2 linked regions of the Caenorhabditis elegans genome follow. The protein of the gene in region 1 purifies or fractionates together with the protein of each later gene. This does not show direct contact. Each region holds a gene or a part of one and is shown on either strand. Other genes may lie near its edges. The genes, in order: wrt-9 and abts-3.

Region 1 (16,235 bases):
CTGAATGAATCGAGTAGAAATCGAATGGAAAAAGAAATGACCTAATCGAATAAACGTGATACGCGACTGATCTTATCTCCGCCGGATTTCAAAAACTGAGAAAGCTGGGCGCCTCGCTTTTTTTTTGCCGCCACCGCCGCCGCCTTCCCTTTTTCAACAGAGAAAAGAAATGGGAATCGTTTTGTGTATGGGGGGGAGATAATTTGATGATGCTAATTGGGAATATTTGTCATTTTTGGGGTCAAATTAAGAAGGAATTAATTTGGAATGATGGAAAAGTGAAACTTTATTTTAAAAATTCATGTTGAGACTGCCAAAAAAAAATATAAAGAAACTAGGAATTTGATACAACAGTTTTCGAGTAAAAAACACCAAAAAAATACAGTTTTTCTAGCTTGTTCTATAGTACCACTACAGTAGTATTTTGCACAGTTACTCAGTATTTTATGGTACATACCACTACCGTACCACTACAGTAATCCTACAGTATCAGTAGAGCAATTTTTGCTGAACCACTATTTTACTCCGACAGCACCATGTCAGTAACCCTAAGGCACCCGTTCAATAGTTCTACAGTACCACTACAGTAGTTTTACCGTGTTACAATATTTGTAACGTTTCACTACAATAATCTTTTATAAAAAATGATTCTAAATCTACAAATTCAGAACAAGCTTTTCCAGCACCAAAACTCCCCGGCAGGCAAAAAACCCAAAATATACCTCATTTCCCCCTCATTTCCTCTACTTGACCGGTCCTCGAACAAAAAATCCGATCTTTCAAGTGCCCCCTCCACCCCTCTTTTGGTATACTTTCCATATTACCTGCTGTGAAACTACGAGGTAATTAGTCTGAAGGTGTCATTTTAGACCCCCATTTACTTTTTTTCTGTTGTTGTGAATGGAAAGTTAAGTGAAAGAGAGCGAGGGGGGATGAGGGGAGACAGTAAAATTGTTTTTGAAGTTTTTTTGGTTGGGATTTCACCGGGAGTCAGTTCTTCTGGAAAAACTGGATTGTTCATTTTTAATTGAAGATATTGGTATATCCTAAAGGCACGTAGGCACAAGGAAGGCATGCGGAAATTTTGATGCCTACTAGGGCCTACTTAGCCTACATAGCCTACATAGGCCTACTATACTCGGTTTTGTCAAAAACTGTCAACTGTTAAAGTTCAGGGCAAAATAAATTGAGTGTTTTGCATTGGAACAAGGGGATCACAAATTACTTTTTGGCTGGAAAATCTAGTTGTAGCCACTTTCAAAGCAGGGAAAAACTGTATATTTTCAGACATTTTCATATAAAACTTACTATAAAATTGAGCTGATCTCACTTTTGTAGGTACCTTTTTTCAAGACTATCCTATAAATTTCGCTCAAACTTCGGAATTTATAGCCTCAAAAAACTTTTTTAAAAGGATTGGAGGAAGATCCGTTCTTCAAGTGCTATGCACTGCGGATCTGAGAGTCAGGTACACTGCCTGGTGGTGCTCCCACTGGGCTATGATTTAAGCCACATCCTAGCCGGGGACTGTGGCCGATAATTCAGTCGTGGATTGCTCCACTTTCCAATAGAGGCTGGGTGGACCTAGGAATGAGGCCGGACTTGAACTCGTGACCTCCAGATTGGTAACGGCCACCACTACCGACTGCGCTATCCTGCCTAACATTTTTAAAACAGTTTTTGAACTATATTTATATTAAGGCTGAATTTTAGTAACCCTGAATAAACAAAAAATCAATGTAAATTTTCAAACTTATAGCAAATTTTGGGGTACATCGCTGAACCCCTTACTTTTCCCCCTGTACAACTTTTAACGTTTGTGGTTCCTTATTAACCATTATGCTGAGTAACCCGTTTGTATTATGTAGTAAGTGTGAACAATGAGTCATCACGGATTACGTAAAGAACAAGAATATCCGCCGTGTCCCCCTCTCCATATCCATATCTACCTCCTCGCCAACGGCTTCTTCTGACAACAATACGTGTTCTATCTACTTCCTGCCCCCGCCGGCCTGTCAACTTTTTCCTCACATCGTAATATTCACGTCACGGAAGGTGAATGACAAGGCGGGCGGAAGCAAGCAATTAGAAATGTCTACTACCATTTTGGCAACATTTTCCTACTACTCCGAGTCGAACTTTGGTACAAATTGCGCAGTTTTTTTCATCCATCATCGAATCCAATTTACTTCAGCTTAAAAGGGGGGATTAATATGAAGATTGAATTGCGTGACGGGAATTCGTTCGATTTGTTGTCGGAGATGATTGCAGGATTCTGGGATGCTACAAGTGCAAGGGCAGATGAAGGGAAAATGGGAATTCGATGTGGCAAGTGGTGGGAGGAAATGAAGTTTTGAGAATGTTTGGGAAATTGGTGGTTGTAGTGGAAAAGTTTTACAGAACATATAGATCTAATATAAGTAAATTCCAAATTATACGAGAAATTGTATACATGAACATTACAGAACAAAAGTCGAAATGTGCCCCCATCGATGCACCATGTTAAAGGTGGAGTAGCGCAAGTGGGGATTTTGTCTAAATGCACTTATGATGATCCAAAACAACCGAATATCACAAAACACTCCAAAAAACACTCCAAAAATTTTTCTAATTTTTCATAATTTCTGGTCAAAGTTTTGGCAAATTGCCAAAATTCTGAAAAATACGAGCTTTTGAGGAAATTTAAAGAAATGCCGCATGTTTCGACCCCTACCATGTTTTAATACACATAATTTAAACAAAATTAAAACATAAAAAATGTCGAAAAAAACTTTTTTTTTTGGTCGACTTCCAATATTATGAGTGGCAAAAACTGAGTAATTGCCACTTTTTGACAGTAAATAAAAAATTATCAAAAATTTTTTGAAAAGTTTTATCATGATATTTGGTCATTTTGAGACCGAAGGAGTGGTTTTTAACAATTTCCCCACTGGCGCTACTCCACCTTTAAGAATTCAATGAGTATTTCAACGGAACAGTTGGGATGACCTACTACAAACTTCTCGAAAGTTTTGGTTATGTTGAGAAAAACCATGCCGCAAATTTATGTTAGATTTCAAATTTTCCATTATTTCCAAAAACTCACAAGAATACCCCGTAGTTTCTAAGATCATAACCATATGTTTGGTCGATGCACCTAGTTGCAAAATGCATGTGCAGCTAGAATCCAATTCATTATAGTACATTATAAGATCAGTAGAGTCTAGAGATTACCCTGAGCTAGTAAAATATAATATATCAAAAATCGATCCTTGCCTTGATCGATGCACCATGTTCGAAGTTCAGTAGGATCTAGTTCGGGTAAACATCAAGTACACCATAGGTGTTGTTTCTCAGTTTAAGGCCACCGATGCACCATGTTACATAATCTGGTCGGCCTAGTTTGAGTAAAATTCCACAATTCCAGATAATTTGGTATATGTGTATTTGGTATAGTTTGGTATAATTTGGTATAGTGTATGAGGGCGTGAAGAAAAATCAAAAATTCATAAGACAGTAGATCTCAAGTCTCATGAATTTTCACATGGTGCATTAACATCAAGGGTGACTGCATATTTCAGAAACTTTTTCAAACGTTTGCCTAAAAAAATGTCTCCCCCCATTTTTTCCTCTCTTTCTTGACACTCAATCTCGTTTCACGGTGTTTGATCATTTGATTGTAGCCATCCAGCTAGCCAGCCAAAAAAAAAGGCGAGAGGATAATCGGTTTTGTGTCACGCCCATAAAAAATTGTCTCCAACTAAGCGGTTTCGGGATTAAACATTTGCAAGCGTTCCGCTAGATTAGTTAGTTAGCAGGCGAAGAAATCGGGATAGATGTGTCATTTTTTACTTTTTTGGAAAAAAAAAGTCTGACTAGAGTTTTAGGTATGATTGAGCCAAGCTCTCTGGCTCCAGATTTATGTAAGAATTACCAGGGTAATTTGAGTTCTGATTCAGGGCTCCAAGTGGGCCTGATAAGTGGTGACTCCCGGGCTCCGATCTCTCGCGGTAACTAAGATATAGACTTGTTTTCCTTGTACATAGAATGTGAATTAGGGGCCACGTGGTGTCGACCTGTATGACAGGCCTAGCTCCGAGTGGTCAGCTTGACAGTGGCCTAAACCCTGTGCACCATGAGAAGTTGCGACGATTTATGTGAGCTATTGGAGCAAGCTGGCCGCACTTTGAAAATTTTGAAGTTTCTGCTCTGAGCTCAAAATCTGAGCTTAGCGTCACAGTCAAAGAGTTACCGAATTTTCTGGAATTGTGGAATATTTCTCAGACTAGGTCGTCCCGAATATGCGCATCAAAAACTTATCAAACTACTATGAACTATATCCAACTAAATTTTGAACATGGTGCATCGATCAAGTTACAAATTGATTTCTGATTGTATTCATTTACTCAGGGTAATCTATAGACTCCACTGATCTTATAATGTACTATACTGAATTGGATTCTAGTTACACATACATTTTGCAACATGGTGCATCGATCAAGCATATGGTTATGATCTTAGAAAATAACGGGGTGCTCTTGTGAGTTTTTGGAAATAATAGAAAATCTGAAAACTAACTAAAATTTGCGACATGGTTTTTCTCACTAGGGAACCGTCAGAAGGTTATTTTCCAAATTCACTTTGGTAGATCACATCTCCGCGAATAATTGACATTGTTGTAAAGAACAAGTTTGTAGTTGAAAGTTTTTTACCAAAAAATTTTTTGTTTGAGATAAAAGCATTAGAATAGCAATAACAGCATAAAAATAACAGCAACAGTTGCCGCACTTCACGCGCGTTTATCTGAAACAGAAATTTTTTGGTAAAAAACTTTCAATTACAAACTCGTTCAATACAACAATATCAACAACTTTTTAGTTGATGACTTTCCTGTAAAAAAATTATCCGCGGAGATATGAGCCACCAAAGTGAAATTGGAAAATTGGCCCTTCAATGTTTCGTTTAAGTGCTATTTTAGAATTTTTGAGAGCCCGCCGTGAGCTTGGTTCTGGAGTTTTGCCACTAAACATTCACGAGTAACCGTTTTAAGACATGCACTATCGAATGGCATAGATCTCATATGCAAGTCCGATGGGCACCTTCTGACGGTTCCCTAGTCAGCATAACCCAAACTTTATAACTCGATTTATCTTATAATTCACCAGAAACACTTGAGTAAGCATAAGGGCTTTTCTATGAAGATCGAGGAGCCACATAAATTATTTCAGAGGTCACCTGGCCCCGCAGAGAACCAACTACTCAATTTCCGTTAGTATTGATTCTTCAAGTATCTCTTCCCCATCATGTTGCCAGCTAATCAAGATAGCTTTTCTTTTCCACCAGTTATCCGCAAAAGACTTTTCCTTATTGTCTTCTCTCTCTCTCTCTCCCATATTCCTTCCCCCTTTTGTCCCTCGCGCGTGTCGAGTAAAAGGGAACGTGGCGGTTGCGGAGAGACACACTGGTTGGCGGTGTGGGGAGAGAGAGAGAGAGAGTGAAAACACTTGTAATAAAAACACGACAACCAACTGTCTCATTAGCTTCAATCGGCCGGGGGCCATATTCTTCCCACACCAATACAGAGACGTACCAAGTTTCCCACGGGCTGGCAGACGGGGTTAAGGGGTATATGTGTAGGTGAGGGGGGGGGGGGGAAGGGTCGAACGGTTTTGAGAGGGGAAAGTTGGCGTAAAAAAGGAAAGAGATATAGAAAACTGTATTTTTTAACAGGAGAAATCTAGACCGAAGGGTCATGGATAATGAGAACGATTGTGTGGAGTTTGAACGGGTTTTTTGGTGATGTCATTGGAATTGGAACACTAATTTTCAAAAAACAAATTGATATTTAGAAAAATATGGTTAAAGTTTTTCACTATTTTTATAATTTTTTTTTCGAAAAAAATTTGATTGGAGAGAAAAATTGTCTATTGGTTTTTTGTCAGATTTTTAGAAAAAAACCTTTAACATTTTTTTTTCAGATTTTTTGATAAAAATATTTAATCATAAAATGATAAAAATTGATAAAAATAAAAATTTTGATAAAAACTTTTCTAAACATTTCTATAAGACTAGCTAGATAAAAAACTAAGTCTAAAAAGTTTTGCGAAGTTGGAAAAAAAATTATTTTTTGAGTTTTTATGTTCATTTTCCATAACTGAAAAAATTGGCAAATTTTGATAAATTTTCTAAAAAAAAATAAAGTTCTGTAAAATTGGAAAAGTTTGAAATTATTTTACGATTTAAATTTTCAAAAAAATTCTAGCTGGAATAATGCAAATGGCACCAAAAACTTTAAAAAAAAATTCAGTTTTTTTTTGATTTATTCATAATTTTGTTGGTTACAAAACAGTCCAGCAAGTTTTACGAATTTTCAAAAAACCCCAGTCAACCAAGTGATCTCCGTCTTAAATTACACACATAATACATTTCAAAAAACCACCTGCGCATAGAATTATCTTCCAAAAATATCTCAAAATAATAATAAAAATATTTTGTTTTTCCCTATTAATTATGCAGATACCATCACCGTATAGCTTGCGCGAAAATTTTCGGCGAAAAAATTGCGAAATATTTGTGTTTGGGGGATTTAGATTGTGGATAACGGGTTTTGGAATGAGGAATTGGAGATGGAGGAATTGAAAAAAATATATGGAAAAATACGTTGAGAACATTAAAATTCAGTTGATAATTGATCTAGAAAATAAATTTGTAGAAAAAAATTCGAAAAAAATTTCGAAAAAAAATTGTTTTTTCTTCAAAATTTTTCCCTCAGAAACTCACCGCTTTAGGCTTATAACTCTGCGTATAGCTCTTCTTCTGCCTATCACCTTCACGGAAAAATCCATCTTCCTGTCCAGCTGTATTGGCAATGAACACGCTGTCCTCCTCGTCCTCCTGCGGCTCGGCCATACAAGTCGGCTGCGCGCATCCGAGTACCGGGGAGCCTGGAATGGAAAATTGGTTATAATACTAGATTTTATGGTTTGTATAGGGTTTGGAAAAAACTAGAAATTTTGGGAATAACATAAATCGTTCGAAATTTTTTCCAATAAAAAAATCTATTTATAAAAATTTTTGGACTAAATTTTATTCGAAGAAAATTTAGAAAATTCCTGTAAAAATTATAACAAACAACATTGAATTAGAAATTCATAATACGAAAATTAAAAATCGATAATTTTCTGCCTAAAATTTCAAAAAAAAATTAGAATCTTAAAAATTGAATCCTTAAGTTTGAGGATTGGAAGCACCAAAAAAAAAAAAAATTGTTTTCCAGGAATTTACAAAGTTATTAATTCCTGCCTTAATAAAAATTAGTGGGAAATCTTTAAAAAACATTTTTTGAAAAAACTCCTCTGTACTTAGCTCGTATTTTAGATTTTTGGAAAAATATCTGAGAAACTTTTTTTTTTGAATTTGTAGTTAAAGTGGAGGGTTGCAAAATTTATTTTTGGATAAAAAACCAATTTTCTTCAAGATCAAATAAGTCGTAAAGCATTTTATGAATGGTAACACCTTCTATTTGTCAAAGCAAACACAAACCATCAGACAGGATTTCTAAACTGTACGGCACGCCATTTGAACCACAGTACGAGGCACCAAAGGGTTGCAGGAGGGCGAGAACGAGGGCGATTTGGAACGAGAACGCTCGATGGCGCATTCTGCAACTTCTAATGTTTTTTTTGGAAGGGGGGGGGGGGGTGCAACGGAAATAATGAATAATAGAGCGGTGGACAGAGGTGAGACAAGAAAATTAGCTGTGGCTAGACATGGAATGGAAATATGAATTGATGACACTTTTTTTGGTGAAAATTTGCAGAGAAAAAAAATTGAAGAAATCTTTGGTTGTTGGACAGAACTTGGTTTGGACAAGAATTTTAGAATTTGCTAAACACCTGCTTAAAGGTTACAGTTTAGCCAAAAAAGGACAAACTGAAGGTTGGAGCTCGTTTTGGAGCTAGGCTTAGGCTCAGGCTTACGCTGAGTTTTAAGCTTAGGCTTAGGATTTTGATTAGGCTGATGCTGCGGCTTAGGCTTATGTTTAGTCTTCGCTCAGGCTTTAACTCAGACTTAGGCTTATTTTTAGTCTTAGGCCTAGACTTAGGCTGAGGTTTTGGCTTAAACTCAGTTAGGTTTAGGCTTAGGCTTCGGCTTCAGCTTAGACGTAGGCTTATGCTTAGGCTTTGACTTAGATGAAGGTTTAGGCTTAGGCTTAAGCTTAGGCATCGGAACAGACTCAGGCTTAGGTTTAGGCTTTGGCTAAGGCTTAGGCTGAGGCTTAGGCTAAGATTTGAGGTTATTTTCAGGCTTAGGCTTATCTAATTCTCAATTTTTGTTGTTGTCTGAAATTTGAACTATATAATTATATAATTGACCGTTGTACAGGCCTAGAAATTCAGCTCAAACGGTAGTTTTGAATTCTGTGTTCTAGTCTCAAACGTTTGCTGCTTAGTTTGATTTTTCGAGTTTCAGCTGCAAGCATGGGCTTTAGGCTTACACAAAATTTACATTTCAAGCTTTACTCTTTAACTTGAAAATTAAGTTTCAGGCTTAGACAACAGGTGTTCAAGCTTTTCAATCGAGATACCAAAAATGCCAGAAAATTAAAAAGTTTAAAAGATGCTCAAACTTTTTAACTGAATTATTTGAGTATACATAAGCAAAGGATTAGATGAAACAAGAAATGGAATTCATGCTGAAGTAATTATTATATTGTTAGTTTGTTTTTGTAGCAAAAAAAGCCGGAACAAAAATATAAAGAGAAAACTATAAACATTTCAAAAAAGCCGCAAAAAAATTAGCTCCATTGTGGGAAAGAAGAGAGAAGCCGAAAATTGGGAGAAGAATGCAAAAGTGGGCGGAGCGTACAGGGCTTAATCTTGATGACGACGGTTGTGTTGGAAATGGGGGAGGCGGGGGATGGGGAAAGGAAAAGAAAAAGAGACAGGCTGCTGCTGCTGCTACTGTTTCGGGAAGAAGGAGATGATGAAGCAGGAGGGACGTGGGGAGGGGGGACAAGCATTTGGACTGTTGGTATGGATATGGATGAGAGAAAAAGGCATTGCGACTAATAACAAGCTTGCAACCTTCCTGTTTATCACCACCCCCTTGTATCTTTTCCTATCTTTCACTATCTTCCTCGTTTGGGCTTCTGATTCCGTTTGTTGAAGATTTGGGGGACTGGAGAGGGAGAAGGGGGATTGGAATTGGAGTAGGTTTAGTAGCAAAAATAGAATTTTTTGAAAATAAACAAATTATGGTGCAGAACAGGGCTGTTACAGGTTGCCGGTTGCCGAAAAGTTGACGAAGTTTCGGCAATCAAAAGTTGTCGGTTGCCGAAATTTTTTGGGTTCGGCAACTTCGGCAATTGCTGGTTGCCGCACAGCCCTGGTGCAAATGCTTGAACAAGGATATTTTCTAAAAAATACAAATTATAATACTCTGTACTTCCAAATTTTGACATTTTGAATATTAGGAATATGTAATTTGCAGTGAAACGTTCCAAATATTAAAAAAAAAATCACAAGTCCAGAAGTTAATAAGAAAGATGATCCAAACCTCGTAAAAAAATTTTTGAAACCCAAAATAAGGTAGGCTAAAAAATTTATCGTTTCATCTTTTAGAAATCAATTTGTTAAAGGCCAGGCTGTATCACTACTGTTTGATCTACAAAAAATGCGAGATTTTTCTGCCCAAACATTTGTCACGTCAGCACGTTCTTAGCCATGCAAATCAGTTGAGAACTCTGTGTTGAAACTCTGTGTCTCAACTTCCACATTTTTTGTAGATCAACGTAGTTCGAGCCGAAATGAGACACTCTGACACCACGTGAAAGGTGGAATAGCGCTAGTTGGAAAACTGTTAAAAACTACTCATATGGTGCCAAGGTAATACAAGCCAAGGAAATACCTAATACAGACCATAATAAAACTTTTCAAAAAAAGTAAATTTTTTATTTACTGTCAAAAAGTGACATTTACTCAGTTTTTGCCCTCAAAAACTCATATTTTTCAAATTTCTGGCAAATTGCCAAAAACTTTGACCGGAAATTATAAAAAATCTAAAACTTTTTTGGAGTGTTTTATTATTTATTATGTTTATGATATTCGGTCGTTTTGGAAAATTATACGTGTATTTAGAAAAAATCCCCACTGGCGCTACTTCACCTTTAAATTTCTTCGTAGATTCATTTTTCACATTTCAATTCAATGTTTATCTATAAAACAAAAAGCTCTGTTATCGATACATATCATGTACAGGTTGTATAATATAGGTATAATTTAACATCTACAAAGATAGAAGAAGTCCCAGCAACGTGTTCACAACATTTTCAGCATCGGAATCATTCAGTGAATCTGCTGTGACCACATTTGTACCTGTAGTCAGTCCTGGAATGCTTGTGGCTCCTGAAATTGTAAATCTACTAGGTGATATTTTTCTATAGTTCAAGTACCTCCAACTAATACGCCTATCACTGTTTTGAAATTATTATATGTTGGCTTAATTGTAGTACCATCGTAGGCAGTTCCTGTCCTGGAAAAATAATTATATCATTATCGGAACATAATTTCTTATTAAAAAATTTGAAATTACAATTTCTTTGAACTAAATTTACAAAAAGGACGTTCTGTAAAATTTAAAAAAAACTCACGCGGCAGAAATAAAAATCATGCAGGTTTCACCATTGACAGTTGATGACCATCCTGCACTAGCCATGCTCCCATCCACACTAAACATAAAAATAAACATTTCAATTTATAAAACCTATTAGCTCACTCTTTCAAATCAAGATCAATGTCAGTGTCAGATGCATGTAACGGAAATGGTATGCTGTTCATATTTGCATAGTCATCAATTTGATAAGTTTCATGATCTTCGCCTCCGGGACCGTATCCAAAATGATCAAAATTTCCGCTCAAAATTGATCGGTCATTTAATTTGGACGAAATCAGTCTGACAAAATTGTAGTACTGAAAATTAGACGTTTACCAGTTTTTTTTCCGAAAATTCAATATGCCTACCGTTTGATATGTAGTGAGAGCTTCTTGACTGATATCAGAAGATTGTGTGTCATACATGAAAAGGCAGGTTACGGTAGGTTCTGAAACTGAGGCTCTGAGACTATAAATTCTAAATTTTTAGCTGGACTAAAGCTGACTAGTTAATATCTATTCTACGGTTCATCAATTGTTAGAGAAAATCGAATGATTCTACACGTGATGTTCCGAGACGAGAAAAAAGTTTGTAACATTATTTATTTCAATAAATTATCAGGAGCCCTCGTCCTGTAAAAAATGACATTAAATCTCGAATAGTGACACATTGTTATGAGTTTCTAGTCCAAAGTTTTGCTGGCAACTAACTTGTTATGGAAGTTGTTGGCACTGACGATCCTGAAAAAAAACAATATTTTGAAAGTCAGTCTTTCAGAATCGATAAAGATTTATATGGAATGTCCAAATTTATTGTTCGCGCCTGTTAACTCTGTACTTGTTGATGGTGGTTGTGTGGATGATGACCCCGATGATTCTGTGCTAGACGTGGATAGAGATGATCCTGACACTGTTGATCCTCCTGATGTTGAAGTTTCAGTGCTGCCTGTTCCTGCGCTCATTGTTGATGACTCCGTTGATCCAGTGCTGCCACTGATCGTTGATCCAGAAATTGTGGATTCCGTGCTATCAGGGGTGTTTGTCGATCCTATCGAGGCGCTGGATCCCCCGGAAACCGTCGATTCTGTGCTAGCACTGACGGTTGATACTGAAGATCTAGATGCAGTTGATCCATCTGTTATGGTAGATCCTGTGCTGACACTTACAGTTGAGACGGATGATTCTAAAATTGTGGATTCTCCAGTCGATCCCGTCGACCCAGATACGGTTGATTCTCCAGTGATGGTTGATCCTGTGTTGCCACTCACAGTTGACACGGATGATCCTGAAACTGTAGATTCCGCAGTAACGGTAGATTCTGTCGAGCCAGAAACGGTTGATTCTCCAGTGATGGTGGATCCCGTACTTCCGCTGACAGTAGATACGGTCGATCCTGACACCGTAGATTCTCCACTAGTGCTTGATCCAGTGCTACTAGTTACAGTTGATGCTGATGAACCGGAGACGGTCGATCCTGCTTCTGTGCTTGATCCAGTACTTCCACTGGAAGTAGATGCCGTTGATCCAGACACGGTTGATTCTCCAGTAACAGTTGATCCCGTCGACCCTGACACGGTTGACGGTACAGTGGGGGTTGATTCTGTGCTCCCACTGACAGTAGACTCCGTTGATCCAGATACCGTGGATTCTCCGGTAACGGTCGATCTCGTCGACCCTGACACGGTAGATTCTCCGGTGATGGTTGATCCCGTACTTACACCGACAGTAGTCATCGTAGATTCAGAAATTGTTGATCCTTCTGTGATGGTTGATCCCGTCGACCCAGACACGGTTGATTCTCCAGTGACGGTCGATCCCGTGATGGTTGATTCAGTGCTGCCAGGGGTATCAGTGGATCCTGTGGAAGCACTCATCGTTGATGATCCAGTAGCCGTTGATCCGGTGCTGCCAAATACCGTGGACTCGCCAGTAGTGGTTGATCCAGTGCTCTGACTGATTGTTGATTCTGAGCTAACAGTGGATACTGAGGACTCTGACACGGTCGATTGTCCGGTAGTACTTGAACTTGTGCTCTGACTAACCGTTGACACTGATGAGCCTGATGTAGATGTCTCCACGCTGGATCCAGTGGACGGGCTCATTGTTGACGCTCCAGATACCGTTGATTCTGTACTACCTGGAGAACTTGTGGATCCGGTGGAGACCGTCATATCTGAAGATCCAGAGACCGTTGATCCAGTGCTGCCACTGATTGTCGATAGAGAAGATCCAGATACTGTTGAAATACCAGTGGTGGAGGAATCTGTGCTTCCAGGATTATTTGTGGAACCGGTTGACCCAGTGCTGCCACTGACAGTTGATCCATCTGTTATGGTGGATTCAGTGCTTCCAGGAGTGTTTGTGGATCCTGTCGACGCGCTCATTGTCGAAGGCCCAGTTGATCCTGTGCTACCACTGACAGTTGATACTGATGATCCAGTAACAGTTGATTCCGTGCTTCCAGGAGCATTTGTGGATCCTGTCGAATCACTGATTGTTGATGAGTCACTTACGGTCGATCCCGTGCTACCAGAGACTGTTGACGCTCCAGCTGATGTTGATTCCGTACTTCCACTGACTGTTGATACCGACGAACCAGACACAGTTGACGCCTCGGAAACGGTTGATTCCGTGCTTCCAGGTATAGTTGATGATTCCGTTGAGCCACTGATTGTTGATGCCTCCGTGACCGTGGAACCTGTGACGGTGGAGGCTGACGATCCAGATATGGTTGATGGTCCACTGGTAGACGATCCTGAGCTTTCTGTTGTTCCAGGACTTGCTGTAGATCCCGTGCTTCCGCTCAAAGTAGAGTAAATGGAAGATGCTGATGATACCGGGATGTACGTTGATGGCTGAGAAGATACTGTACTGACTGTCGAAATGGATGAGCCAGCGGATGTTGGAGATTCCGTGCTCAAAGACGATTCTGCAGTTTGGGAGGTAACTGTAGAGCCACTGACTGTAGAAATATCTGTTACGGTAGTCACGGTTGATGCTTGAGGTGAAGTTCCAGCTGTCGCGGTGGAAGAACCGGACGGTAGAGTCACAGTAGTGCCAGACGGAGTAGATGATTGGAGCACAGTAGACTCTGTAGAAGCACCAGGTGCTACTGTTGTAGGTCCTGAGCTCATACTTGTTCCTATTGTCGGTTTAGTTGATTGCTGTGTGGCAGGGGATGTAGCTCCAGCGGTGCTCGAGGATGGAGTATATGTTGAAAGTGAACTCATTGACAGGGATGTACTCTGACTGGGAAGTGGTGTGGAGCTTGATCCGATAGAAGTTTCCGTTGTTACAGCGGTGCTTGCTAAACTTGTTCCAGCAGTAGATGGGCTTGATCCGCCAGTCGTTGGAGTTGTGATTACTGTAGACCGACTTGTCATCACCGTAGTAGGAACGGTTACTACTGTGGACGGCGCTGTGACTACTGTACTTGGATTTGTCACCACCGTAGTAGGAACTGTTACTACAGTCGACGGAACTGTTACTACTGTGGATGGCGTTGTGACTACCGTAGTAGGAGTCGTCGCTACCGTCGGTGAACTTGTGACTACTGTATTTGGTTTTGTGACCACTGTAGAAGGGACTGTCACTACAGTAGACGGTGCTGTGACTACTGTACTTGGTTTTGTCACCGCGGTAGAAGGGACGGTCACAACCGTGGAAGGAACTGTTACTACCGTAGATGGCGTTGTGATTGGGCTGGTGACTACTGTACTTGGAATTGTCACCACCGTAGTAGGAACGGTTACTACTGTAGTAGGGCCTGTGACTGTCGTAGTAGGTACCGTTACTGTTGTAGTAGAACTTGTTTGAGCTGTACTTGGAACTGTTACAACCGTTGTTGGAGATGTAGAAATTGTGACAGTAGTGTTTGGAGCTGCCGAAGTTACATTGGCAGTCGTTGTAGCCATTGTTGATGTGGTTACCGGTGGCGTTTGAGTTGTTCCTGGAGTTTAAGATTTAGTTTAATAAAAATATATCTAGTTAAAAAATCTTACCGATATTCAGAATATTATTAATTTTATTCGAAATATCTTCTGTCGGAGTTGTTGGAATATTATGCGCTGCTTCACCATATCTACTGTTCATATCAGTACTATTCAGTGATAGTGACACAATCACAAATGTTTTTGTAATAACTTTGTTGATGGCAGTTTGAACATTTTTAATATCATCTTCGATCCCGCTGAAATTAATTTTAATTTTAATTTTTTTACTAAGTTTTTTTTTATTTGAAAAATTATTAACTCACTCGTAATTTGTCTGACAAGGCGTGAAAAAAACTAAATCCGTGTTACTATATGCAGATGGGTCGTAACTTTCAATAGCTCTAAAACACAACTTTACAGATACTATGAAAAATCTGAAAAAAAAGAAAACTCACGAAGACTGCTTCACCGCTGAAGAGCCGTCTGCCTTGATGGCTTCAAGTTGATCCAATGCAAGTTGTTTTGTAAGTGGTTCAGTTTTCTGAAATTTTCAAAAATTTGAGGTGAATTTCAATAACTTTTGAGAAATTACCGTTGAGGTACCGGAGTAGGTAGTCAGAATAAAATTTGCATCTTCTGCAGAGCTTGTGAGAAAATTTCGAAGTTGGTTTTTGTTCTGAAAAGTTTTTTGGATGAGTGTCAAGTTTTTGGTGAATGTTAAAATTTTTTAGCAATGCAATTCAAACTCACTGCATTAAAACTACAATCTGTATTAGCATCTCTCTTAAACCTCAAGCTTGAAATCTGCGGCTCTGAATTCGAATTGCACAGGCTCACTGTAATGACACGACCATCAAATGCTGAAAATTGAATAAATTCGAAATGACGGCTTTTTTTTCCATTTAGGCTTACGTGCAGCTTTATTAGGCCTGCTAACCAGCACAATAGTCAAAATCAGGCCGGCCACCAAAGCGGCTGACACCGCCAAAATGAATACAAGGTAAATGCCACGTGGCATTTTGAATTTCAGCTTCATGTCTGAAATTACTTTTTTTTTATTATTATAAATGCAAAACACGTACAAGAAAAACAAGAGGAATTGAAGAGTTTAGAAAAAAGTTTAACGAAAAAAGAAGAAAATCAAAAAAAATTGGTCAGTGCTATTATTTTGGTCAGTGCAAATATTTTGGTCAGTGCAAACCAAACTATAACAAAATTGAAAAAAAGACACTAATGGAAACTGCCGTGCGACCTTTTTATACGGTAGCCAACTGCCTAACACATAAAAACAAGGCATCTGTGCCCCTTAAAAAACCGTGACTGAACTGAGCCACCACCCTCTGGAATGAGAACAATGTGCTGGAGGCGGCAACAACTGGAAACCCTGTGCACCGGCAACCCATAAAGATGTTCTCAGTGATAATAGCAGGGTTGATAGTAAAACAGCCATTAGAAACTGGGCGTCGCCATACTTGAAAAGGAGTTGGGGTGTGAAATGAGATAAAAAATGACGTGCTACGAAAGACAGCCAGGCATCACGAACAAAAAATACGATTCACAAAATGTTTGCAATTTTTTTGGATCCGGTTTTGTCTGGGAGGGTATAGGAGGAGCTGGGAAAATGAACACTTAATTATAACTAGATTCAAAATAGTTATACGTCATTTTTAAA
Region 2 (15,959 bases), on another chromosome or scaffold:
CACCCGACTATTAAGTATACTTGAACATTTTCAGACGAAGATGGTGACTCTGGATCTCTCCAACACAGTTTTCTCCGAGTGCCGGTTGGTCTGTCTGGTCGTTCATCTCCTTCTGTCGCATCTATGGGATCCGAACCAGAATCATGTATTGATGATACTCGATACATGACAGACGACGATGATGTAATAGGTATGTTTGCTATTTAAATTAGGGGGTTTCAGATTTTACAGATTTAACTTCCAGGAAGCGCAGCTAAAAAAAGAGAAACATTCTAAGAAACACTTTGCCTGAATTAGTTTTGGTGAATTAGTGGTTGTGATTACTTTACCAGGAAATAAATGACATCATTTTCTATTTTGATTATTTAATCGTTAATCGATTTTTAAATCAAAACTAGAATATCCCTTGCTTCTGCCAAAATTCAAAGTCCACTCCAAATCATCCAAAATCTAATTGATTTTGAGAACAATGGAACCTTTCCAGCTAGTACACATGTAAACAATTTGTAATCCCGCGCCTCTATGTATCTTCCATTTTCTTCTTTTTCTCCCTGACCAATCATTTATCTAATTATGCTAATCATATTCTAATGTGAGCCCTTCTTTTCATTTATTTATTTTCTCTTTTTTTTTGCTTCCCGACGTTCAATGGCTCCTCGTTTTACTTGCTCTTCAATGAAATGCGCGTAAATCCTAGCTGCCGAGAAGAGTATGTTTTTATCGGACGAGGAGCCAATTAACTTTTTTTTCGGCGCACAACACACATTTCTCTAGAAATGGCAAAGCAGCTCTGTGTTCTGTTCAAAAAAAGAGTTATCAAACAAGTTCAGAAGAAAAAGAAAAACGAGATGAAGAATTTTCGGATCGAAAATACTGTCATCGGCTATAAGGTGTCACTTGCAGAAGTAACATCATTTCGGTCTTTTTCATTTTTCCTGGTTCGTTTCATTAGTTCAACCGAGCAATTTTTGTTAGATTTCTAGGTTTCTATAAAAAATAGAAAACAGACGGTAAAAAATTCAGAAATTATAATTTTTTGCATATTGAAACAAAAATTATTAAAAAATTTTCTATAAATTTTTTACAGTTACACTCGTTACACTAATACCTAAATTCCCGTTGACAACGAACAATTCGCTATTTCTCGGAAATTTAGCTTCTGGATCTATTTTAGAACACCATAAGCGAGAAAAAGTACTAATTTTATTTCCGGTAAATTCCTCCAAATATATTATAATAGACAAGCCTCCCGAGAAGATGTGCTAATTAAATTGCAAAATAAAATTTCTCGAGCTATTCAAAAACTTCTTAGAAACAGAACCGCTTACTAATAGAACATTACAAGAAATAACTATTAATAAAACGAATTCTGAAAATTAATCCACCGTAATCCTTCATCTATTTTACAGCCACCCATTATGCATTTGAGTATAACTTATGTTTCTCCTTCACTTAATTCCTTCTTTTTCATTCGTCATCTTTCATTTTCTTTCATTCTTGATGAACTTGTGCATGGCACAGTAGCTTTGTGTGTATGTGTGTGCTTCTTTTTTTCCGTGTCCCAACTCACACATACATATAGACGCATCCCCCTCATACACATATATACACTAATAACCTGGAAAAACTCACTCTTCGAGCTCTTCGAGCTCTTCCATCGTCTTTCGGTAGGCTTCTTAGGACCACTCGAGAATTTGTGTTTGTATGTGTGTGTGTGTGTGCAAGTTGCCCTGAGGCGACAACAAATTTCACGTTTGCCTCCACCCATTCACTTTTCAACACTGACAAAACCGCGAAGAGATTTTTGACCAAAAAATGGAGAAGCTCAGTGAGAATCACACAGTTCATTTCTCATCATTATTCGATTGTCTCACAACCGAGACACGGGTAATTCAATATTCAGTGTGTGACCCTTTTCGAAATGCGGTTTTTTCTCTTTTTTGTTTCCTTAGATTCAGTCTTCCAGCTCTTCCCCTGCTTTTAAGATTAGATTCAATTTTGGTGCATATTTTAAAAATCTCGCCCTTCCTCACCCCATTCGTCAGCCAGTAAAGTCCATTTTGAATTCAAAACCGAAAGCCGAAAGATATCTAGAAAAATGCTAGAATCATCTGAACAAAATGACGTGGTATCGAAAGCTAGATTAATTGACTTTTTGAAGAAAAAAGATTGAAATCTTTACTTTTGCAGTAGCAAGCCGAAAATCTTTGACTTAATTTATGACATTTTTGATAACGCAGAAAAGATGTTAGGAGAAATCTAACTATTTCGGATATGCCAGTAAAATTTTTCATATATTGGGTCATTTTTCGAGCCGCCCTTGTTGAGTTTTATGCAAGTTCTAGTTAGAAATATTTAAACGGAATTTTTAAACTCGTAGGCGGTCTGTTTTAATAGTAGCAACAGTTTTTACTGAATTGAAGCTTTTCCTATTCTGAAAACTCGGCGTCTTTTAAACATTTGTTTTAATTTGCTGAACTTCAATTATTTAACTGAAATTAACATTTCCAGTTTTAAATGACACAACTTTTGACCCACGTGACCTGCCACCTTCATTTGCAACTTCATTCTGCATGACCGAGCCATTTTTTGTTCGCGATGGCAAAGGATAAAGCACTCCATTTTCACTTTTGAATTAGAACCAACTTGTTAAATAATTGATTCCAGTCGACTCTAGGTGAACCCAGTTTTGCGCAAAAACCGAAAATTTCGATGTTTCAACAAAAAACCGATGATTTTTGTGTTGTTTTCCTATTATTTCTTCCATTGTCGTTTTTTCAGTCTTCACTCATTCCTCTTCTTCTCCCTCTACTTATTCTAAATCCTTTCCTTCATCGTGCTCTTCACTATTTTTCTCCGTTTGCCATTGTACGCAAAGCAGCGCCCGTAAGAAGCACGAAAAGCGGAAAAAATGAGCAAAGAAAAAGCACGGCGGTGAACAGGAAAGCTGCGATGGAAAAATGCAAATTTTTTCCGACGACGTCGCTGACAACACTACCAATATTTTCAGAATTTCGTGTATTTTAAGAAAAATGAAAATTGAGTTTAACATAAGTTGAAAACTCCAACAATTCTTCAACTCAAAGTTGAGTTCTAATCCGATATTCCATTTTAAGTATGATCCTCGTTTTTTTATGACTTTTATTTTCTTCGGAATGTCATGTTCCCGGCTCTGATGAGAATTAGACATATACTTTCTCCTTCCACATCCCTCACAAAAAGAGAACAAAAAAGCGAAGAAAAAGAAAGAATTAAATTAATTTTCGCGCGCATTTTATAGTCGGTATTATATCTCCTGTAGAAGTCTTGTGAAAATGAGAAGATGGCAAAAAGAGGCAGTAAAATTCCGGGGAAGCAGCAAAAATAAATATCAAATTAGCGAGCCCGGACCACTATTTTCCTATTTTTCTATTAGTTCTAGCCTTAATTGAGAAACCCATTCGACGCTGGGTATTGCCAGCATTGATCCGGAATTTCTTAAAATACTGATTATTTTTGTACTTTACTGAGTTTTGAGCTATTTTCAGAACAATTATTTGTTAGAGTACAAGTTACCAGTTTTAGAGTTATCTGAAACACCAAAGTACTAGCCAATGAAAATATTAAATGAAAATTTAATTGATCGGGAGGTTCAAAAGTGCACAATTGTTGGATGGCTCAAATGTGTTTCATCGGCATGTGATGATGATGATGAGTTAGCCGTAGAGAGGTGGTGGTTTCATTTTGGACGGGTACAAGTTTTCGAGAATTTTTCTTTTTCTTTCTTTTCCTCTCTCATTCTTTTCACACGTCATTTTATTTTATTGCGGCGGCGGCTCACACTTCGAGCCCTCAAGCTCCTGGGATCTGTCTCATTCATCGAATTTTAATTGTTGGGCAATAGTACTCGTTGGATGTTGTTTTTCCTGTCTCTGCAATGTTTCAAGCATTTGAACTTTTTTGCCTTTGATTCAGCACGTATTCATTCCTCGGTGCTCTTCTTCGGAAATATGACACCGTGATGGGAATCGGAGCGGCCGGAATCCCCCCGACACTTTCACGTTTTGTTTCATTCATCTTCTCCATCCTTAGATAAAAAAACATCAAGATGTAACAGATTTTGTGTTGATCATTTGATACCTAGAATTTACCAAAAAAAAAAGAGTCAAGATTCGAGTATCATAAATTTGGAAATTGTTTAAAACATCCTCCAAAGCGCTAAAATTTCGAAATATCAAAGTAAAACTATTCAGCAATTTTTTGAAATTTGTTTTAAATAATACAGTCGACAAGTGAACGAAAACCCAATTTTGACTTATTACAAGTTCTGAATCTCACTGAAACTATAATATGCTTTCAATCTGATATTAATAAATGCCAAAAAAAAGTGATTCTCATCTGAGGTTATTGAAGTTCCTGAATCTACTTCTATTTAAAAAAGCAAGACTGAACTTCTGATCTGATTGCTGACGGGGCAATCTAAATTTCTGACAAGTAACTTGCCCACACGGAACATGTTGAATAATCTCTCCCGATCGGAAAATCATTGTCTGTTCCGCTTACATCATTTAGAAGAATCTGTCATTCCGAATCAGCAGTAATATATGTTTCCATTAAGTTCTCAATGCAAGGCTCATTGAGCTTCTCTACTTCCTCTCTCTCTTATAGATTCTTCTCCTATCTCTACACCTGTTCATGTGTCCCCATTCATTTCTTCCTCAGATTCTCGTTCAATCACTTTCTTCTCTTTCAATCTACCTACCAATTCGCAGTCCATCAGTTCGTCTCCCCCCTTTTGATGTACTTTGGCCACGAGTAATTTACCAAATTTTCCATGGGTCCGAAGTTAGCAACAATGTCGTAGTTGTATGCTGGTCGCCCTCCTTGCCAATTCAATTGGGAGGCTACGAAAGCTCTGAATCTGAGAATGAAGAAAACGACGAGCGAATAGAAGAAACCCGTTTTTCCTTTTTTATGTCCATCCACAACCTCCTGACTTTTTGTAGACAGCGACAAAAAATCTTTTGAAACGGGAAAGAAAGGTTAGGTTTCTTTCGAAATATTAAATCGGCGCTTTTAACTCCATCAACTTTTTTTCTCTATGTCACTTACTCTCTCACATCATCCTCTGTGTTTCAGAGCCACTCACACTATTTGACAGCCAATTAGTTTTCAAACGATTGATTGTTTCAATATATCTGTTTTTTGTGATGAACTGAAGCTTTGAGCTAGAAAATCAGGTTCGCTAGGATCAAGACATCTGGACAAAAAAGACGGGTGATAATTAGAAAATGTTAGTGTTTGTTGAAGGAATTTGAGAGATACTGGCGGTCCCGAACGACATGTGTTCGCACTTTTTATTTTCTTTTCTCTGTGACCTGCTTTCTTAGTTTTTGAATTTTAAATATGAGCTCGTATACTTTAATTCCTTCTGTTTTTTTTTTCAACCGTACCATCTTTAATTATGTTAAAAATTAAACCTGTATTATACTGCTCGTAGAGCTGGCGAAGCCAAACATTTTTGTAATAATACCGCACACTGTCAGCTCATGAAATATTTTCCAAAAACATTTAATACTTGGTTAGCGAGAGGATACGATTAGATCAGGTTCCAAAACGAGTCAAAACCAACATCTTCGTCCAAACTGAAATCTTCTTTCAGTCAAGAAAAGTTGCACATCTAGAGCAGTTGAACACCGAGTTTTTGATAAAGTGCACGTCACACTACGAATATTCTCTCCCTTAGACGTTCGCCTGTACCTTGTCGGATTCGTCACATGAGTAGAACATGTCGAATTCCACATCTCACTCTCTTTTCTTTTCTATATTCGACAGCTTCTCCCTCAGGGACACATCGGACACTTCTGATGAATTTCGCCTCCGCCGAGCCGACATATGAGCACATATTTCGTTGAAGGAGCCCTACACTTCATTTCGACTTTCTTTTTACCCCGGAAACCAAGTTTTTGATTTTTTTGGTTCTTTTTTTTGCAAAATGATGTATGTGTCCCCACTGTTTCCTAGCTAATTTGCTTTGGAGCGGTTTTTGAACTTTTTCCTTTTGGTGTACTTCAAGAAGTCCATTGGAATAGAAGAGCTAGGGGCGTTTTTTTCAATTGAGAACCATAAATCTAAGGAAATAAAATGCGGTTTAGAATTTGAGAATACGAATAAAATTCAGAAGATCAGTCCCTCATATTACCTTTACTAACTCAGTTAACATGTGCCTCCCTCTCCTCCGCCGGCTCGTAACCCGTCAATCAGTTTCATTTGACAAGAAGGCATCTGAAAAATAATAAAAAACCGAAGATGTTGGCTTGCGATGGAGAAGAAGTTCAAGTAGGGGATGTAAATGTGATGCTTTCTGACTGAGACTCTACTGATGAGTCGACATCTTCCGACCGGTCTTCTTGAAGAGAGAGGCCGCTTCGCACATACATCCAATTATTTGCAACAAGGTCTTCTTCGTCTTCTCCGGTCGACTAGTGTATATGTGTGTGAGCAAGAATCCGCTTCACCCACGCAACTTGCTCGAAGAGCATCCCTATATCCGCAACTTGTTTCAACGCCGTTACCTCGTCTTTTCCGTTCCATCAGTCGCCGCATTTTTTCTTCTCTCATCACACTGTTTCGATTTTCATTCACTCTGCAAATGTAAATATTCAGGCGCGGGACATCCCACCGCCGTTTCTTCTATCTCATGTGTGTGCTCTTTATTCTGTTTCTCTATTCTGCCGCCCCGTTTTCACGCATTTTCTTCTTCTTTTACGCTTTCCATCCTTCTCATCCACGCTGAAATCTCCGTTTTCCTCCTCCCGTTTTCTTCGTTGGCTCATTCTATTTGCTAGATTAGTCACAGGTCGTTCGAGACCAACATCCATTCAGATTCTGGTTTTAGATCTTTGTTCTTTAAAAAGTACTAGTTGGACCCCGTACTGTTCTAGATGCTACAATTTTCTGAACGTTACTTGGCAAAATGTCAAATTCCAAGAGGATAGAGACTAATTTGAAAATCACTGACTTTGATAAAAATATAAAATTTGGTTACCGTATTTTTCCTATCATTTGCACCCCAACAGCTCTACTTCAACAGCTTACATCTCGATTGCATTTGGCTTTAGAATTTTTTTTTTCAATTATGTATAAAAATATAGAGATATACATATTTTAAACGCATTTTTAGTGTTGTAAATGTTTTGATAAGAGCAAAGCCAACCGAATAGTGAGCGCTCAAATTAGAGCCAAGGGGTTGCAAGATTAAAGAAAAAAAATTTATCTGAAGAATCTGGAAAATCCTAGTAGTCCTTTTGTTTCCTGGTTAAAAACGTTATTGGGTTCTCCAAATTTCCCATTGCAAGCAAAATATTCTAGTTTAAAATCTATGGGCTTGCAAATTCAATTTATGCTCCAACCTAATAATAGTCATCTAGTTGCTATTCCTTTCGATGATCCATCAGATCCATTTTCTGAAAAAGAAAACAAGCAGCATTGTACTAACAAATAGAGAAGTCTCTCTTCTCTTATTTCTTATGTGGAGCAGCTACCTCATAACTTTTTCAAGAGAAAACACGTGTGTCTACCAGTTTGTTTCATACTATTTTTTTTCTATTGTTCTTATCCTTCACAGGCATCCTCTCTAAAAGAACGGCTTTATGCAAAAGCACAGAAGAAGAAAAACGAAGAATAAGCATAAGAGGAAAAGAAATAACAATCTGTTTTCTAAGCGCTCGTCCGTATTTTTTGTGCTGTTTGCCACCCTCGCCTCCCACCACAAGATCCCATCCGTATGCCCGATGTTCGTTCTTTCGTTTTCCGCTTCCATTTTTAAATCTTATTTTGGTAGTATGTGTGTTTGTATGAGAACACTGGATTTCAAAAAAAAAACGGCGCCACAGGGTGGCTGAATGCCTTTTGAAAGGGACTCAGCTGCCATCGAAAACGAACTCAGTTTGACGGAGGACTCTCCGAGATTTAGGAGCAGCTCTTGCACTTCTTCCAATTTCGAGATAAGCCCTTTTGCGGCGGCATTGAACCAGCAAAAAAGGAAATGGAGTTATCTTCAGAATCCATTTTTCTCTGATTTGCCAAGATCAATTTCCTTTTTGTTGGTTTTTTTTGCAGAAAACTGCAAAAAAAAAATGCACGGTGAGCTGTGAAATTAAACCAGAAGCTCTATGTTAGGTTGGAGACAGCATACGAATCTTCCATCAAATGTTGAAGCTTAGAATTTTGGTTTTAAACACCTTTCACCAGTCTCACTAAAAAGTTGCATAGATTTCAATTAAATTATCTTTCAAAATTTTTTTCGGAAAACCAAAAAAAAAATATTTTGTTCAAACCAATGAGACAATTGTTTGAAGTTGTGACTCTGACATATATGTAAATCTACATCGATATAATTTAATTTAATGATTTTTTTTAATTTATAAAATTACAGTTAAAAAAGTGAAATTTTCAGTTGCTACCTAAAAATCGGAAGTTGAAAAAAAATTATTTTTTCCATGATTTTTGTGTATATGTTGTTCGAGCTTGCGACATTGTTCCAAATTTATTGAAAATCCTAAATTTTTTCGATAATCTTGATATCCCCTATTTCTAAAAATTTCCGAGTTCACTTGAAACAGCAATCCTCTTTGACCTCCGATCTCATTGTCATCACATCCACCACACATCCTGCTCTCAGTTTTCTTGACCTCTAATCAATATCTTCAGATCATTTTTCTATTCTCTTTTTCTTTTCCTCTATCTATCTGTTATCTTTATCTTCAACTCTATCATTTGTAAAACGAGTCGGCTCATTCATCACTTCAAAGTAACTTTGCACCACCGTTCTACCCATTTCCATTATCTACGAGTTGTCCCAGTTATTTCATCCATATCTAGTAAACGGAAGCTCACATTGTGTATGTTTTGTGCTCTTTTTCTGCGATGCCGCCACCCGCGCTGGGAAGATATTGCTTTCTATTGCTTGCTTCTTGCATCCACCCTCACATTTATAATTGCTCCGCCTCCTCTATTCTCCACCCTCGTTTGCTCTTTAGGCTTTCCAAGCAAAAAAATGTGGAGAAGCAAAAGCGGAAATGGGAGTGTGGAACTACAGTATGAACTTCAAATACCAAGATTATGTAAACGTGATCTGATGATTTAGTCGGAACGAGATAGCTCTATTCAATTATCTTCTTATTTTCTTATTTTAGATTTGAATTGAGAATCAAGAATACAATTTGCATTTAGAGTGATTCACATCCCAATTTGAATAATCTCTTTATTCTGATTTATTATAAATTCCTTGTCTTCTTCTTTTCTTCAAATACTTCCTTCTACATATCTTCTCATGATTACTGTAACTTCAGACGCATATCTAAACTGTTCATGACTATGACTCAACAGTAGATCATCAGAAGTCATGACAACACCGGATTCGGATAGCAACGCCGATCCATTTGGTGGCTCAGATCCTCCTTCAGCACCACTCACATTCCGTGCCCCGCCTGTCTCAAACTGTGCTAAATCAATAATCGACCGGAAGTTGAGAAAATATGCATCCGAAACATCGTTTGCAACTGAAACCGCTAGTGAATCAAGTCTCGAACGAGAAGTTCCAAGTAGATCAAGAGTTTTCACAGTAAAACCAGTTGGAACAAGAACACCTGGTGGTATTGTCTTAACGAATGGTGCAAGTAATAGTAATAGTACAAATAACGGCGGAGTTCATCGGAGCAGAAGAAGACACGATTCGGATGCAAGTGGATCAGCTAATTCAGAAGCCACCGTAGCTTCTGGAGCCAATACACCAAGAAGATGTCATTTTAGAAGACCAAAATCAACAAGTGAAATGCATCAATCGTGTACTTCTGCAACAATTCATTCACTGGAAAGTCATCACAATGAGGAACGGAGAGCTAGTCACGTTTATATGATTGATGATGATTCTGTTCATGAATTTGAAGATGATGACGGTAAGTAAAGGTTTTGATGATCTACCAGGCTTTCAGTAAAACTTCAAACTGGAGTTTAAATGTCTGTTGGCTCTAAACTATAGCTATAGTAAGAGATGAATTTATTGAATACAAATTTCATTGTTTCTATTAAAACGGTTCTTATATTAAAAATCGATTTCAATATTGTTGTAATTAACTCTGTTAGTAAACTGCTTGATATTTAGAATATGCAATTCTTCATCATTATTGACGCGTACTTTTAAAGAATCCACTAGACTTAAAGTGATATACTTTGCTGCTAAATAAAAGTTGAGACTAACGATCTAGAATTAAGATCTTAATGATATTTTGATCCATTTTCATTCTTCTGGCACCTATTAAATGTCAACTCTCCGCAGGTTAACCACAAATACATTGTCCAAAAATGCATGCCTTTTTCATTGCAATCTAAAATTGTTCACGGGGGACCCAAGCAGTCAACCAACCTGCTTTTTCATCCTCTTCCTTCCTCTTTCTTCTATTATCTGCAGTGTTTTTATTTATTTCGTGGCGTCCGTCGTGTCCACGTATTTTTTCTTTGAAAACATGCTTGGCACCTAAGCTCCGCGGTTCCACAATGGTTCAGCGATTCACTTCTTGTGCTCATGACACTTTCATGAGATATGAGTGAAAAAGAAAGAAAGAAAGATATTCACTGTTCAGTAAAAACACAGAGGAAACAGAAAGAAAAAGGAGAAGAAGTTAAAAAAAAAGAGAGTAAGAAGAGAAGAAGCTCGTGTCATCGCAAATTGAATTTCGGCTCAAGAAACGCTGTGAAGACGTCGCCGCGGCATGGAGGCGCACAATTCAGATGACATGATGAGTTGTAGTATGGAGACATAATTTGCGTTCACTTCAACTTATGGAAACTGATGCTTCATTCTTTTTTCTTGAAGATGTGACACGAAATAGAGAAAGGAGAAGATCCTACAGCAACAAAAAAGCGAGAAGATTCGGTAATCAAATTGGCTCGTCGGACAGATTGTGCCCCGCGGGGGATGCGGCTCTTTGAACTCTTGAGATGACATCCTATTTCTTTTTCGGAAAAAAATTGAGAAGATTATTCATAGGAATTCTATTTCTGACGAAAATACGGATTGATATTGGATTGAAAAAGATTTAAATTGGAAAATAGAGGTCTAGTGTGTAAATGTGTTGACAAATTCTCTTATCCTATCTCGGAATTTGTCTGTAACTTCTAACTGAAATTTCATCTTGGAAAATAATATTTACAAAACTTTGCTGATTTTTCTGAAATGTCTCATCCGAGCCCTGAAGTTTGATAAATATAGATCTAAGTTTAACACTAAAGAGAGAAAATTAGGACAAATCTTCAGTAAAAATTCGCAAACTCTTGCATACACTTGATCCAATATTTCCTCAAATATCAATCCTAGAGTCTTCACTTTAATCTAATAATTTAACCGAAATGTCAAATGAAATGATCTCGGGTCGAAAAAATCGAATGTTCCAGCATCATTGTTCTCACAATTTCTACGTAATACTACAGTAGTCTCTTCGTTGAATTAAAATTGTGTCAAAAATAAGATTCAAAGAATTGAGCCACTTTGCACCAATGACTTCATTTTTCTATTCTTGCAAAAAACAACGAGTGATTCAACATCTAGTTATTATTAGAACACATCATTTTTCTTATATCCGAGCACTTCAATATCCACTTATCCCCCGTAAAAAACTTGTTCAGCATGTTCGGCTGTGCTCTTCTTTTTGTACTTCCGTGCACACTTCCTTCTGAAAAAGAGTAATCATCAAAGGCTAAAAATGCGCACGACGGCGGATCGTCTCTGAATAAAAAAGGAAACGAGAAAGGAAAGAAGAAGCAGTCCCGAAATCCGATTCATCAATCCCATAATATGCGGCGCCGGCGGTTCTTCTCCCCCTTCGTTTTTCCTTCTTCTTCTTGTCGTCAACGACTCTACTGAGTAGTGAATGGAATGGGCATGAAGTAAAAAAGGGGCAGGCTGAAGAAAAAAGAGAGCGCTGAGAGAGAATCTAAAAGTGGTTTGTGCTGCTGCTGCTTCTGCTGCTCGTGAAGCTCCCTAGCTCCGCCCCAAAAGGGAAGCAGTGCCCCCTAGGCCAGTCCATCGTGGACGGCTCCTTGACGTAGTCCAATATTCTCAATTTCTTCATTAATATTATTATTATTATTACTTACTAATGAATGTCACCAATGTGAAGGTGTTCGTTTCGAATGGAAGTGTTCGAAAAGGATCAGACGTCGACTCGTACCGCACACCACTCGATTTTGCCAGCTGCAGTTCGGGCATTTCAGAAGAATACCCTCTGCTTCTGAAAAATGGTGACGATGGAATCAGTCAGGGAGGTATTTATATTAAGAAACCAGATCCCAGGCAACGAGTGATGGCTAGAAGAACATCACATACTCTTTTGTATGTTCCTGAACAACGACGAATATCAAATGTTTCTGGAAACTCGGTTGCATCTTGCCCACCCGGTACAGTACAAACTTCTGGTGAGGAAGATGACAAAGTACCCCCTGCTCCATCATTTTCTCTTCATCTTAGTCCAGTTGGTACAAGAAGAAAATCTGTTCAAACGGGAGCACCTGCCATTGGGTTTCGTCCATTGAAAACATTTGAACGACGTGCGAGTCAGCCTACACTACAGTTTGAGGCTAAAAAAGCAACAATGAACAGTGGTACAAGTTCAGGTGGAACCGCAGGAGGAACAGTCAATTTAATTAATACAGCTCAATCGACAACTATTTCTCTACCTCCTGATAAAGCTAAAATGCTAACAAAAAGAGTATCCTGGTTATCAATGAAGTCGTTGCAACAAGAGGATCCAAAGACTCGAAGATCAAGTGCATGTGGCTCACCACGTGGTGGATCTCCAAGTCGAACTCTTTCCCAATATGGCTCCCAACCATTTTTAGCAGAAGATCGTGATTTTGACAGTGATACTCCGCCATTGGATACTCTCAGTTGGAGTAATGCTGGAAGTATGTGTGTTTTTGTTTTAGTTAACATGTTTTTATAGGAATATTTTTCTTTCAATGTTTCTCTCTTTAGCTTCAATGCTATTTTGTTTTGTTTTGTTGCGCTTAAAAAACTCATACAATTTTATTGGGTTGCATAGACAAAAAGGGGACAAACTACTGGACCCTCCCACCCCGGCAAGGGGTCCACTTCGCTTCCTACATAAAAAGTTTGGGGTCTGCGACTGCGGTTTCTCTGCAGCAATGTTAAAGAAAAAGGAAGCCGGCGCTTTAAAGAAGACCAATTTCGGCTGATTGAAGAGACCAGATGAGGCCGAAGCGTTGGAAGGGTGAAAAATAAGTGTTTATAATGTATCTGAAATCAGAAATATTAAGAAAAACACTCAATTAATTGTTCCGTGTTGCAGATGAATATGACAATGTGACCTTGATGTACGCAAAACATGAAAAGATTCCGATGAAAGATTTTGGATCCGAGATCAGAGCAACAATGGACATTGATCATCTGTTGAATAAAGTGAGCTTGAAAAAGTTTTGAATAAGCAGCTGAAATGTTTATGATGAATTTTATAATCTAGAGAGACCGGAAATTCTTTTTTCTTTTGACTCATTAGTTACAACAAAGGGCACCCAATTTTTGGTCGTTGTCTCCCACAATGGGCTTCTAAATATGGCTTTTGAGAAGTTAAAAGTTATGTTTAAAGTACCTATCCTTTGGGAATAGATCACTTTTAACGTGACAGCTGTAATTTTTAAATTTGAATATTCTGGATAAATCCCGTTCTTTGAAACCCAAAAACTGAAATTCTTAAAGAATAAATAAATCTATGAAAACATCTATATGTGCATTAGAAAAAGCAATTTATTTTTTCAGGCGGTTCTTCTACTCGATCTTCAGGAGACGAGTCTCGAAGAGATTTTTGCCAAGTGAGTATTATTGTGTTCAGAAGCTTTTAAATAAGCTTCAGAAAGGCTTGTTCATCATCATAAGGATAAGTCTGAGTTTGATGGGCAAACGAAATAAAAGAGTGGGATAGAATATGAAAATGGGAGTTGGATGCCAACAGCTTCCCTTTTTTTTCTCTAACAGAGTTTGTGTTGGTTTTTTGATGAATAATTAATGGAGAAGAAAAATGATCGAGTGGAGGAGGAGGGGATAGGCCCTTTCTCATATGTCTAGCGAAAAGAGCAACTTCTGACGATGATTTTTGAGTTGACGGGATACAGATCTTTTGTATTTGGAATATTTGATAATTTTAGAAGTAATGAGTATCGTTGATTTTTTCAAATGGGATTTTTACTAATAAAACAATATTTTAATTTTCCAGAATTTTGAAGTCAAAAATTAACTGATATACTTTCATAGCGATTAATTCATAGTGCCTACTAATATTAATTCATAGTGCCTACTGTGATAATTTTGTGATAACCGTACTCTTGAGTTTAGTTTTGATTTTGCATGAGTAAAATGTTTGTGGTTTTTTTAGACAGTGTTCTTCAAAAAAATTTATTTGAGAAATCCAACAAAGCTACAACGATGTTTGATTTATTATCCACAATAAAATTTGACAATCCGTCCGAAAAATAAATTATTTGTAGACGTCGCCAGAATCAGCTTCAAATTTAAATTTAGAATCCATTCAGAAGTCTGAAACTAGAGCTGAAAAAATGCAAGTGAACAAAAGGATTATCAATTATTTTTTCTTGTGTTCTTTCTCCCCTCTCTTTTCTAACTTGTTGTTGTTTTGAGAGGAAGGAAGTGTGCGCTTTTCTGGAGACGACAATGATGATGATGATCGTCGTTTTCTTGAGAAGTCAAAAAAAGAAACAAAAATGGGGGAATCTTGGGACCAAAACAACCAAAAACGAATAACTTGAAGAAATGATTTGTATCTTTTCAGAATCATTCATGAAATGGATATTCAAGAACCAGAATTTACAAGTGAACAAGTGAGAAGTGTACTTTTCACACAAGACGCTGGAAATCAGTGTAAGTGGGATTGAATGGAGCTTGGGAAAACATGCAAACAAGCAGATTATTCGGCGAAAAAAAATGTTGAATACATTTGCACAAATTTCATCAAAAAGTATAAGTACACAAGTACAACAATTATTATTTTAGAAATGAATTCCATACTCCAAAATTATGTACAAAACTGACCAATTCTAGAGTATAGAAAACATACTTTATATTTTCAGTACAAAACACCTGAAACCGGGAATGTGAACGTAAATTCCCTAATTGTCCTGATAATATGATTTTTCAACTTTTAATTTTATTATTTTCACGATGGCCACAAACAATTTTTAGATATCAAAGAAACATTAGTTGATGATCCTTAATTTAATAATTTTCAGTTCATATTCTGTCTCGAACAGTTCAATCAATATGTACCACTGGATCAGTTGGCGGAAGTTTCGATTACGATCAAACGTGGATTTGTGCATTGTGAGTCTGTTTTTGGTCTCAATTTCCCTTTTTGTTGGCCAAAGTAATTTGCATTCAATTAATACCAGATTCACTTTGTTTTTCTCCTCACAGAATAAGAGGAAGTTTTCTCGGGCTCAAATTGATGAAAGAGAGGGAAGACCCTCCGGTTTTCTCTTTTTTTACATCACAGGTTTTTTTTCTCTCTCTTCACTTTCCCCTTTAAATTCGATTTTGCAATGCATTAGCAATCAGAGCAGACAGAGAAGGAAAAATGAAGGAAATGGAAACAAAATTTTTAAGGGAACATTTTAGGAACCGCAATTTGATTGATGTGAGAAAACAAATATTTTCAGATGTATGCTAAACACTGTTCAACATCGTCATGTTGCTATTGCTCGTCTCTCTCATCCAACAAATTTGGGTAGAACTATGCAAGATCTTCGATTTATCATTATTGTGATTGCACCAAGCAGGGCGGTAAGTTTTGAAACTTTAGAGCTCGAAATGTAGATCATTTGAAAAAAACCTAACATGAATATCAAAAATTCCGTTTAAAGTCTAACAACTTTTTTATTATGATAATGTTATT

Evidence for each region.
Region 2: the proteins of wrt-9 (region 1) and abts-3 fractionate together in Caenorhabditis elegans (co-fractionation; one large-scale study listed by BioGRID). This does not show direct contact.

The regions. Positions count from the first base shown.
Region 1 is NC_003284.9:1,568,042-1,584,276, reverse strand, and holds the start of wrt-9 (WaRThog (hedgehog-like family)), read right to left. Parts: upstream 7,641-16,235; 5' UTR 7,640-7,640; coding exon 7,522-7,639; intron 6,924-7,521; coding exon 6,760-6,923; intron 1-6,759. Other genes in the region: H02F09.2 (Peptidase_M10_C domain-containing protein), read right to left, coding at 10,267-10,385, 10,433-10,512, 10,631-10,708, 10,756-10,949, 11,001-11,057; H02F09.3 (VWFA domain-containing protein), read right to left, coding at 11,423-14,580, 14,633-14,820, 14,887-14,964, 15,019-15,104, 15,156-15,239, 15,314-15,423, 15,476-15,599.
Region 2 is NC_003280.10:6,137,801-6,153,759, forward strand, and holds the start of abts-3 (Bicarbonate transporter-like transmembrane domain-containing protein), read left to right. Parts: upstream 1-9,330; 5' UTR 9,331-9,385; coding exon of another isoform or gene 9,386-9,938; 5' UTR 9,939-12,137; coding exon 12,138-12,942; intron 12,943-13,346; coding exon 13,347-13,456; intron 13,457-13,625; exon of another isoform or gene 13,626-13,693; intron 13,694-13,813; coding exon 13,814-13,866; exon of another isoform or gene 13,867-14,021; intron 14,022-14,840; coding exon 14,841-14,929; intron 14,930-15,297; coding exon 15,298-15,388; intron 15,389-15,723; coding exon 15,724-15,847; intron 15,848-15,959.